Linked DNA regions of Macaca mulatta. The protein of the gene in region 3 interacts with the protein of the main gene of each other region in a pairwise test. Links are inferred from orthologs where the notes say so. Each region holds a gene or a part of one and is shown on either strand. Other genes may lie near its edges. The genes, in order: CSNK1D, CRY1 and PER2.

The links.
Region 1: the proteins of PER2 (region 3) and CSNK1D interact in binary tests that used the Homo sapiens proteins (3 or more experiments, as listed by UniProt). The link is inferred for Macaca mulatta from reciprocal best matches to the Homo sapiens genes PER2 and CSNK1D.
Region 2: the proteins of PER2 (region 3) and CRY1 interact in a two-hybrid assay, tested with the Homo sapiens proteins (5 studies listed by BioGRID, with this or other methods). The link is inferred for Macaca mulatta from reciprocal best matches to the Homo sapiens genes PER2 and CRY1.

What each region holds. Positions count from the first base shown.
Region 1 is NC_133421.1:91,964,778-91,968,423, forward strand, and holds part of CSNK1D (casein kinase I), read right to left. Parts: intron 2,191-3,646; coding exon 2,042-2,190; intron 1,455-2,041; coding exon 1,226-1,454; intron 840-1,225; coding exon 669-839; intron 109-668; coding exon 1-108. UniProt on the Homo sapiens protein: Essential serine/threonine-protein kinase that regulates diverse cellular growth and survival processes including Wnt signaling, DNA repair and circadian rhythms. It can phosphorylate a large number of proteins.
Region 2 is NC_133416.1:114,199,140-114,202,785, reverse strand, and holds part of CRY1 (cryptochrome-1), read left to right. Parts: intron 1-243; coding exon 244-384; intron 385-462; coding exon 463-774; intron 775-2,535; coding exon 2,536-2,687; intron 2,688-2,914; coding exon 2,915-3,117; intron 3,118-3,218; coding exon 3,219-3,311; intron 3,312-3,646.
Region 3 is NC_133417.1:143,533,677-143,538,029, forward strand, and holds the start of PER2 (period circadian protein homolog 2), read right to left. Parts: upstream 2,825-4,353; 5' UTR 2,387-2,824; intron 1-2,386. UniProt on the Homo sapiens protein: Transcriptional repressor which forms a core component of the circadian clock.

The DNA.
Region 1 (3,646 bases), on a different chromosome or scaffold from region 3:
AGCCCTGGCGATGGAACAGATTCCGGAAAAGCTGCCTCAGGTACGAGTAGTCAGGCTTGTCGTCAAAACGCAAGGAACGGCAGAAATTCAGGTATGTGGCAAACTCGGCTGCAAAACAAGAAACTCAAAGCTAACTCGTGAAACCCAACTGCGACTCGACGTGTCTGCCAGCGTCGCCGTCTACCTCCTGCTGCTGCACACTCAAGGGGAGAAGGACAGATACAAAACACCTGGCAGGTTTCTAAGACTCTAGGCCTTAAGAAAGCTTTTAAAACAATTCAAATCATAAAGCACAATTTCGTTTCATCTAAGGTATGTATCCTGGAGCAGTCCTACAAATGCAAAGAGAGAGAGGCCCCACCACTGCCCATCCATCCCTTTCCAGCCACTTAGGACCCCAAGGCTCAGGCCTGCCTCACCTGCCATCTCTGCAGGGCCTCCAAGTGCTCTCCACACTGATGGGCACTTGGCAAGTCAAGATGAACAGGAGGGCAGGCTATTACCACCATACACAAAAGCACCCCTCGTTCCTGCCACCACCCCTTTGGAAGGGGAGCAACTCTTCTGACAAAACCCAGGCTGAGCCGTCTCAGCACACCTGAGGCGGGCCCGACGCACGTGCAACCCCCATGAGCAGCTCCACTGAGAAGAAGCCTCCAAAGACTTACAAGGGTAGCCTTTACACAACACTTCAATGGGGGTGGACATTTTCTTCTCGCTAATCCTTTCATATTTCTGTCTCTTGGTGGCGGCCTTCAGCCCCTGCCAGGGGAGAGAGCCCAGGTTGAAGTACATTAGCACGTAGCCCAGAGACTCCAAGTCATCTCTTCGGGATTGCTCTGAAAACAAAAGGGAAAGGCGTGAAGAACGGCACTGGCGTGCTCACGTCAAAGCAAAAGACCTGGCTGGCACTTCCAGTGGAGACGAGCTTCAGACACGCACGCCGGGATCACTCTCACCCAGAGCTGCCCCTTATGCATACTAAGGAAATTCCCGAACACATCACAGGTGACTCAGAAACATCCCAGCATCCGCCTGCCCCCATACACCTGGCAGTCATGAGCCAGACTGTCTGCTGCAGAGGTCTGAGGACACACTCGCACCCCCAGCTCCCCTGACGACACACTCGCACCCCCAGCTCCCCAAGAGGCTGGCCTCTCCCTGGGCTGAGGCATGGACATGCCCAAAGGCACCCTAGGTCAGTGACCCATGCCCAGGGGCTCACCAATTCCAAGGTGCGTGTTGATGGAGGCGTACCGCGCCGTCCCTGTGAGGTTCTTGTTCTCGCGATAGGGGATGTGCTGGTGGGTGCGTGCGTCCCGGTACTTCTTGGCCAGCCCGAAGTCGATGATGTACACCAAGTTGCCCTTCTTCCCCAGGCCCATAAGGAAGTTGTCTGGCTTCACATCCCGGTGGATGAAGTTCTTTGAATGAATGTATTCGATGCGACTGATCTGCGAGCAGAGCAAGGCACGAGATGGCAGCCCAGGGCAGTCTCAGGGAGGGACAGCTCAACTGCAGGACGCTGTGCCAGTGGCTGTGCTGTTCCTGCCCCTCAGCCACGGCAGGGTAGTTTAACCATTAGTGAGGGGGACGCCGAACTGACCAAATTGTTCCCCCAGGTGCCTTCAGCAACCCTCCACCCTCCACGGGCCTAGGTGCTTTGCCTTCAGCTCCCACAAAATAGAGAGGTGAGGCGACAGAGAGGGGACAACCCGCCACTAGACATCGGTCTCTCCCAGCACTGTTCTCCGCATAGGCTACACACCAGGATTGGCAGAGAAGCTGCACGGAGGTGCTTAGGAATCACACGCATGTTCCTGAGACGGAGGGGCCCGCTGAATGGAAACGTGCTATGCTGGTACCGAGAGGGTGGCCTCCAAGCCACTCAGCTGAGCCACCAGAGCCTCAAGGCTAAGGCTTAGCACATTTCCATTTCCTCTGTGAATTAACAGCCGTAATAATGGCGAGAACAGCACAAGTGAGCGGCTGATTCCATCAGACGGCAAGTGTGTGCCAAGTGTCAGGAAACAGTCCTTACCATTTGGTCGGCAAGCAGCAGGACGGTTTTGAGGCTGAATTTCCTGGAGCAGAAGTTGAAGAGGTCCTCCAGGCTCGGCCCCAGCAGCTCCATCACCATGACGTTGTAGTCCCCCTCGGCCCCGCACCATCTGATGGTGGGGATGCCCACTAGGCGAGGAAATCAGACAGCGTTTCAGTCCAGGCCCTGCCTCAGCTCCACACTACGTCTGCGCTGTGCACACCATGGGGTCCTGGTGACAACCCTGAACGGGGAAGGGGTGATGGAGGCAGAAGACCCCGGCAACGCCGGTCCTCAGGGACCCATCTTCGAGATTAGGCCCCATCTGTTAGCAAGTGGCCTGAGGCAGAGGTTGGACGAGGGCCAAGCGGGCAGGAGCTGCAAAGGGGACAAGGAGGGGATCGAAGCCCCACCTCCCTGACTCTCATCTTCTAGGGCAGGGGGGCGGCAGACACAGGAAACAGTCATGATGTGGGAGAGAAAGAGCTCAGGCAGAAAAGGACCAGCAGAGCCCGCCAGAGACGTCACACCGGAGAGGGGAGGAGCTGCAGGAGAGAAAGCAGCTACCATGGGTTAGGTGAGAGAAGAAAATATGTTCAATTACTACAATGTTGGTAGAAGTATTTGACTGGATAAGAGAAAAATAAAAGCAATGAAAACTTTTTGGGGATTTACACAGTAACCCAAGCTTGAAATATACAAATCAGGAAGTGAGAATACAGACACAATAAATCTAACAGGAAGAATTTACAGATGGCTGCACAGTATCAGTGCTGAAGGCATAATCAACACTAAAAAGACACACGGGCCAGGTGCAGTGGCTCATGCCTGTAATCCTAGCACTTTGGGAGGCTGGAGCGAGAGGACTGCTTGAGCTCAAGTTTGAGACCAGCCTGAATAACACAGGGAGACCCTTATGTCTCTACAAAAAAACTTTGGAAATTAGCTGGGTGTGGTGGCACGCTTCTGTGGTCCCATCTACTTGGGAGGCTGAGGCAGGAGGATCACTTGAGCCCAGGAAATGAAGGCTGCAGTGAGCCGCGATGGCACCACTGCACTCCAGCCTGTGCCACAGAGCAAAACCCTGTCTGAAAACAAAACAAAAAAAATCTACTTTAGAAAAAAATGGGTGAAAGACCTGGACACTTCACCCAAGACTTTACGTATGAAAAGTCAACGACCACAAGAAGATGCTGAGAGATGGAAACACGTGCTGGTAAAGACGCGTGCAGGAACACGCAGGAGCGCACACCGCAGCCTCACGCCAGAGTCAAATTCGAATGCTGCAGCAACAGATGGGTTTCTCAAAATACCACCCCCAAAATATGCCCTTCAGTCCTATTTTTTTTCTTATATCCACAAGAACATGTTTTTTTGGTATGTTTTCACAGCACTGGGTCCTTAACTATACACATGGCTCTACACACATACAGCTTATGAACGGCCTGGATAAACCTTTTATGTCCTTCCATGGCAAGACAGATTTTTAGTTTAGTCTTACAGCAAGTTTTGGTACCATTAGGGAAATTTACTTCATTAAAAAAGTTGTTTCATTATTTTATTGTTTTGAGGCGAGGTCTCACTGTCACCCAGGCTGGAGTGCAG
Region 2 (3,646 bases), on a different chromosome or scaffold from region 3:
CTGTTGGAAATTTGAAGGTAGTTTATTTCACATGAGTATGTGCTGCACAAGGATGACTGAAACAAAAGAATGCTCACTTTTTTATCCTGTCTTATTTTCTATTAAAACATGTAATTTGTGGCTAGGATAAGATTTTATTTTCCAAGAACGATGTAACTTTTTTAAAAAAAAATCTCCATTCTGAGCGTCCTTTTAAAATGAAAAAGACAATTAGTTAATGTAATTTTCTCTCTGTGTTTTCAGGCTTGGGTGGCAAATTTTGAAAGACCTCGAATGAATGCAAATTCTCTGCTTGCAAGCCCTACTGGACTTAGTCCTTATCTCCGATTTGGTTGTTTGTCATGTCGACTGTTTTACTTCAAACTAACAGATCTCTACAAAAAGGTATTCTCTAAAATTGGAGCTTATTGTTTAATACTTTAAAAAGCATTCTGATAATACTTCTTTGCTTTTTAACCATAGGTAAAGAAGAACAGTTCCCCTCCCCTTTCCCTTTATGGGCAACTATTATGGCGTGAATTTTTCTATACAGCAGCAACAAATAATCCACGCTTTGATAAAATGGAAGGAAACCCTATCTGTGTTCAGATTCCTTGGGATAAAAATCCTGAGGCTTTAGCCAAATGGGCAGAAGGCCGGACAGGCTTTCCATGGATTGATGCCATCATGACGCAGCTTCGTCAGGAGGGTTGGATTCATCATCTAGCCAGGCATGCAGTTGCTTGCTTCCTGACACGAGGGGACCTGTGGATTAGTTGGGAAGAAGGAATGAAGGTAAGTGTTCTAACTGATGTAGCATGCCTTATTTTGAAGGAATCCTTACCTTAATAAAACAAATCCTAGAAGTTGTCTGTTATATAGATTAATTTATAATGTAGTTTTTCAGTGGATAAAACATTTAATTCCCCAAATATGGGCACACTTTCAGAGCAAAAGGTGGTATAATCCGACAAGCAAAAAGGTGAAAACTAGTTAAATTGATTAACCTAAAGTCATTTTAATGGTTAAACCAGTCTAGCCACTAAGAGAACTGTAAAATTTAACACTGAATTTGTTGATAGATATAGGTGATATTTCTGTCACCAAAAGAATTCACTCAAGAGTTCCTAGAGATAGTGAATTCATATTATAAATTTTAAAACAGGGCCGGGCACAGTGGCTCACGCCTGTAATCCCAGCACTTTGGGAGGCCAAGGCAGGTGGATCGTGAGGTCAGGAGATCGAGGCCATCCTGGCTAACACGGTGAAACCCCATCTCTACTAAAAATACAAAAAAAATTAGCTGGGCGTGGTGGCAGGTGCCTGTAGTCTCAGCTACTCGGGAGGCTGAGGCAGGAGAATGGCATGAACCCGAGAGGTGGAGCTTGCAGTGGGCCGAGATCGCGCCACTGTACTCCAGCATGGGCGACAGAGCAAGACTCAGTCTCCAAAAAATAAAATAAAATAAATTTTAAAATATAAATCATTTCACCTCACTTCAACTTCACAAATTTTTAGTAATACTTCTATTATGTGAAAAGAAGCATACCACATTTTGTGACATCATCTTGTGGGTTACATGTAATAAGACTTACATACCTTGTTTTTTTTTTTTTTTGAGATGGAGTCTCGCTCTGTAGCCCGGGCCGGGGTGCAATGGTATGATCTCGGCTCACTGCAACCTATGCCTCCCAGGTTCAAGCAATTCTGCTGCCTCAACCTCCCAAGTAGCTGGGATTACAGGTGCCCACCACTGTGCCCAGCTAATTTTGTATTTTTAGTAGAGACAGGGTTTTGCCACATTGCCCGGGCTTGTCTTGAACTCCTGACCTCAACCCCCTGCCTCAGCCTTCCAAAGTGCTGGGATTACAGGCATGAGCCACCGTGCCCGGCCACTGTATACATTTTTTATGTTTCTGGCAATATCATACATTTGCCCCATCCAAGGACCATTTCTGAGCCTATGTGTGTGTGTGTTTTTTTTTAATCTCTTACATTTCCTAGTACACAGTTGTATATACAAAGACAATATATAACATATTTAATATATATAAAAATCATTTATTTTAATTATATTTTCTTTCTGATCAAGGAATTCAAAATTAAGCTATGCAGTGCTAGTATATACTTTTACATGAATTTATATTTGAGTATGCTTCCTTTATTTAGGCTAGTATACTAAGTTTTTGTTGGTGTTTTATGTAATAATATTTTTGCTTTCTTGAAAGTGGTTTACTGCTTTTCCTGTGTCTACTAATAATATCCTTTTAAATCAGTGATTTGAATTTTTTTTTTACTTCCATTCTCCCTGTAACACTGCAGAGGTTGGAAAAGTAAATTCTCTACAGAAGCATACTATATTACCACTATGTTTCTTTCCCTGGAAGAGCTCATTATAGAACAGAATATAGACAGGGAAGCTAACTTTGGAATGTTTAATTTTACAAGTCTGTGCTAGATTTTCTTTGCCTTGACTTTGGATCTACTGTGACCTTGAAAATGCTTGCTTTGCGAATTATATGTGTGCAAACTAATTGGTTACTGTTACTTCTGAAGGTATTTGAAGAATTACTGCTTGATGCAGATTGGAGCATAAATGCTGGAAGCTGGATGTGGCTGTCTTGTAGTTCCTTTTTTCAGCAGTTTTTTCACTGCTATTGCCCTGTTGGTTTTGGTAGGAGAACGGATCCCAATGGAGACTATATCAGGTAAATCAAGGGTGATTACTGCTCAATTTGGAATAGTTAATTGAAGAAGAGCTTTTCATGGTTAATCAATGCTTAAAGTATTCCCCACTCATGATAGGCAGCAGAGATGAGTAGGGCAAACAGATCATTTAAATGGTATTGATTTGATTTTGGTCTCTCATAGCTAGTAGTTGTTATAGTTTGCTTACAGTGCATTTTATTAGTAATCTTTCTTTTTTCTCCTAAAGGCGTTATTTGCCTGTCCTAAGAGGCTTCCCTGCAAAATATATCTATGATCCCTGGAATGCACCAGAAGGTATCCAAAAGGTAGCCAAATGTTTGATAGGAATTAATTATCCTAAACCAATGGTGAACCATGCTGAGGCAAGCCGTTTGAATATTGAAAGGATGAAACAGATCTATCAGCAGCTTTCACGATATAGAGGACTAGGTATGTTAATAACTGTCTTTGTTTCTTTGGCAGCTGTTTATATACCTGTCTTTGAATTTTATCTTGATCATAATTTAAAAGAAAATTCTTTTGTCCTTTAGGTCTTCTAGCATCAGTACCTTCTAATCCTAATGGGAATGGAGGCTTCATGGGATATTCTACAGAAAATATCCCAGGTTGTAGCAGCAGTGGAAGTAAGTGAAAAGGAAATTTCTGCACTTAGTAACATGACGAGGTTATTAAACAAATATATTTGTTATTGATCCTTACTAACATTTTATAAAAATCTATCTTTGAAATTAACTTAATAGATTCTTTGTATGCATGCATACATGTGCACTCAGACACATCTCTTCACTCCACTGATGACATTTTAGAGATGGAAAACATCATTCCGTATAATAGATGTTGGGTCAAGTTAAAGCTTTTACAAACTGAGGAGAGCAATTTTAAGGATAAAATGAAACTCAAATGTCATTTTCAGAATGCTTATTATTTTTTACTCTTTAGGTGTACAGCAACTATAAGG
Region 3 (4,353 bases):
CGCTCTCCATGGCAACGGTTGGGTAACTGCGGAAAATGTGACCGCAGCCGTCCAAATATGGAGGGAAGGAGGTGCACCAGGGAGGCATTGTCTTGGCCTCACCAGGACACCTTTAATGCTCTCAATTCAGACTTTTAAATCCTTACATTTTTAGAACTACAAGACTTTACAGCAATAAGAAAGGCAAAAGTGTCAGCGGCTGAGCTACTCTGAATTGCGGGAAGCTGAGGCATCTGCTCCTCCTGCACCTGGTTTCTTAAAGAGCAGATTCTGATTCCTCTATGTCACCCCAGGAAGAGCACGAGGAACCCTTCGAGGCCGGTGAGGGATCAGCACAGCAGCCCACTCTGTCTTGGGAACTACCAGCCTCTGAAAACCAAGTGGCCTTGACTCCTGTCACCCGTCACTGCTGTTCATTTACTGCTTCTAATGTGCTCTAGACTTGGAAATATGGTAACAAACTTGTTACAAATGTGTACACGATGAGCATAATGAGTTGAAAGGAGGGCCTGGTCCCTAGGGGAGAGTGCCTGGGCTTGGGGAGGGGCCCATCAGAGGCCCCCTCTAGACTGTCTGATTCTCCCTTGGTTCTGAAGGTTGGTCAGCTTTCCAGAAGTGTGGGGACAGTCTCTGCCAAGCTTATGGAATTGTGTGTTTCTGGCTCACTCTGCCAGAGTAGTTTTCAAAAGGTAAAAGCACACCCAGAGCCTGTCTTTCTTCTGACTAAACGCCAAGTGGCCCTGCCAGCTGTTCAATGACCTGACAGAGCCGTGGTTTGCTGAGTCCTGGTGAAGTTACATCATGGCTTAAAAACAGCAGTGTGACGACCAGTATTTTTGAGAAAGTTCAGTGTGTATGAGAAATAGTGCACAGGAGAGGAATCTTTCCTTGTTCCTTGTAAGCACTGCAGATGTGGCTCACAGGGGAACATTACCTGGCCCAAAGGCAAGAGCATATCAGAAGCCTCTGTCTCCTGCGAGAAACCTGGGAAAAATCAACTGTAGGGTAACAGAAAATCAAAAACCTGGGAATTAAATTAGACCTCTGAGACTGCCCAATCTGAGTCCCTCCGAACAAATGAAACTGAGGCCCAGACTGGGAGCCAAGGCTCCCAGCAGCAGCCAGCTGGCTGACGCAGGGCTCCCCCTTCCCACCTGGCACTCCAGTCTCCACAGAAAGCCAGGGCTGCGTTAGTTCTATACCAATGAATCACACCAAGGCGACAGTGACAGATAACTGCAAACACCCACGGTACCATCCCCGCGCTGGCACACCACACAGCTTCCACTTAAAAAAAACAACGGAGTCCCTTTCTTCATTATAGTCATATAGCACACAAAACTCAATTCACCTTGTATTTTAAAACTCAATTTCCAAATAAAGCCTTCAGGTAGAGTCCTATTTTCTTCTCAGGCACACCCAGTCTGGGACCAGAAGCCCCAGGTCGGGGTAGAAGTTGGCATCTCCCCTTGGAAGCCAAGAAGTCTAGTGATCCTGCTGTGCCATATAAAAGTGAGAGGGGTCCAGGGGGGCTCTGGCCATGGTGTGGGGTTCTTAACACATTTCCCGGACTTAAGGCCCCTCCTCCCAAATTACAGCCCACCCAGGATTCAGCACCCAAGTTGAGGCCTTCACTGAACCTCTGAAGCTCATCCTGCCCCAGGGCGATGGGAAGATCCTGCAGACAGCCTGGGCCTGGGCCTCAGTTTGCTCATCTGTCAGGCTGAGGGGTTACTCTGGGTGATTTCAGGGTGCCTTCTGGCTCTGTTCTGTATGAATCAGCTTTCCAAACGGGTTCCTTCTGTGTAGGTTACAGAAACCCTGGCAACCAACTCGTCATCCCTTACCCTGGCCTTCCTGAAGGGGGAAGCAGGCCACCTCCCACCTCCTGGTCTATGTCTGGGACTTGGCAGCCAAAGTACATCCCAGAAGGTAGGTGCGACTGCTGCACCAAAGAGTGGACACCCCCATTCCTTTCTATCCAGTCCGGGGAGAGGGTATTAATACAGGGTGGTCCAGGGGAGGCAAAGGGGCGAACATCAGGCGGTCTCCCTGCCCTCAGGTTCCCAGGCCTGGCTTGGCACAGGGACTTCCTTGTCCCTCTGATCACCTATTCCAGGAGACCCGTGGGTGTCCAGGAAAAGCTCCTAGATCAGCGCCCTTCCACAGCCCTTCCCCAGCCCAGGACTTGGCCCTGTGGCCTCAGAGGAGGCAGTCAGCTCCCCGAGGGACCTCCAGATCCCAGGGCCGGCTGCGCTGACCCCTGATTTCCTTGGCCTTCCCCAGGGGAGGGGAGGGAGGGTTCCCAAAAGAGAATCGCCCACGGAACCGCAGCCCACGCGCAGTCACTCAGCAACTCGGTGCCCTACACACGCTGCCGCCTCACCTTTCGGACCTCAGGCTCCTGAGCTGCGAAACGGGGGTTCGAGTCCCCAACCCGCGGTGTCAGCGCAATTCAAACGAGCGCACCCTGCGCGCAGCTCGGCCGCCCTCCACCTGAGACAGGGCCAACGGCACACGCCCCCACGCCGGCGCCGTTTCAAGCAGAGGAGTCCAGCGGCCCAGGGAACTCCCGGCGGCGCCGGGACCCCGACCTGCCCGAGGCCAACGCGCGGGCGGCGGTTACGTAAGCCGCAGCGGGGCCGCGCCGCGCCACTTACCGCCCGGCCGCGTTCGCGTCGGCCCGTCCGCCGGTCCCTCCGCCGACTCGTGGCTCTGTCCGCCCGGACCCGCGCCCGCTGCCGCCGCCGCCACCACCGCCCACAGCTGCACGTAGCCCCTCAGCGCCGCCGCCTCCGCCGCGGCCGAGTCGCCGCTGTCACATAGTGGAAAACGTGACCGCGCGCGCCGCGCCCGCCCCCGGCGTCCGCCATTGGCCGCGACACCGTCTCATCTGCATACACGTGGGGCGGGGCCCACTAGCGCCGCGCGCCCATTGGTAGCGGTGCCCGTCGCTCTTTTTACATAAGACGCACATGGAACTCCATGTTCACCTCGTCGGTTCTTCAATGGAGATGCGGCGCGTTCTTGCCCCCCGTCGTCCTCCCTAGTGGTCTCATCCACTTCCGGCGTCGGCGCCTTCCATTCACGACGCCCTCGAGTCCGCCAGCTCCGGGAGCGCGGAGTGGCGCGTACCATTGCGGGCGGGGGAGCTGGGCGCGGGGCTCCTGTGCACCTCCGGCCGGCCTGGCCGACCTGGCGCCCCGAAGCCCGACCAGGGAAACCTCCACCTCCGGCCACCGGCCAGAGGCGCGCCCCCAGCGGCCAGGGCCGCGGGAAAGTCTGCGCAGCATGCTTCATTCACACATTCATTCATTTACTCATTCACTCATTCGTCGCCGGGCCCCAGAGCAGCCTAGGAGAAGGTGGCTGCACCGCCCTGCAGCAGCTGCTGGGGCACGCCCACCCGGGCCTCAGAGGTGCCTGTGGTCCACACTTGTCCCGGCAGTTACCACGTGTTACAATTTTTGGTTCAGGAAATAGAGTCACTGTTACTCTGGGGAGGTACAAAAGAAAGAAATGATGTTGTCTCTGCCCCCAAGCGCATCACTAGGGAGAAAGGACTGTCTCATAAAAAGGAAACTTAATCAAATGCTAAATTGGGCGATGTGGGCTATAAATTAACCAGAGCTATCCCCACAGGCTCCGTGAGAAAGGCAGCACTTCCAGGGCGGGTAGGATGGGCCCTGAGAAAGGGACACCTTAGGAAGGTGCAAGCGGTAGAGACGGAGAAGCCCGTGGTGGGAGGTTGTCCTGGGAGCCAGTGCGGCAGCGTGCATCACCTTGTCTGAGGGTTTGCTGTTTCAGTAAGCATTGTTTGGGGCATGATGAGCCTCTAAACTTCCATTTAAAGTGTCAGGAGAGAGAGTACAATTTCCCCTGGTCTGGGTAGAAGCCTGAGACTTACAGGACAGGCAGGAGCTTGCAGGCTCCCATGCAGCAGACTCTGAAAGTGCAGGCTCCCATGGGGAAGGCGAGATTGTCCAGGAAGCTGGAACCCGCAGCATCTCTCTTTACTCTTCTTGTTCTTCTTTACCTGGACTCGCCTGGGGACCAGGGATGGGACAGAAGGAAAAGTTATTAACCCACATCAGGAATTCCTGAGTGTGCTAACTCTTTCCCTTCTACTTGACAAGGTGTGTGTGCAACTTCTGATGCAAACCAGGGCAAATACCAAGTTCATCAGGGCAGCCCTTCCCGCAGAAGCCCAGGGAGGCCTGCAGGCTGTTCACACACTGTCAGGTGGCCCCTCCTCCTGTTCCTCTGACATTGACATCTCAACACACTCCCCGCCCCCTCTCCCTAACACAGACACACAGAAATGCCAAGCAAATCCAGGCCCGGTTGCGCCCT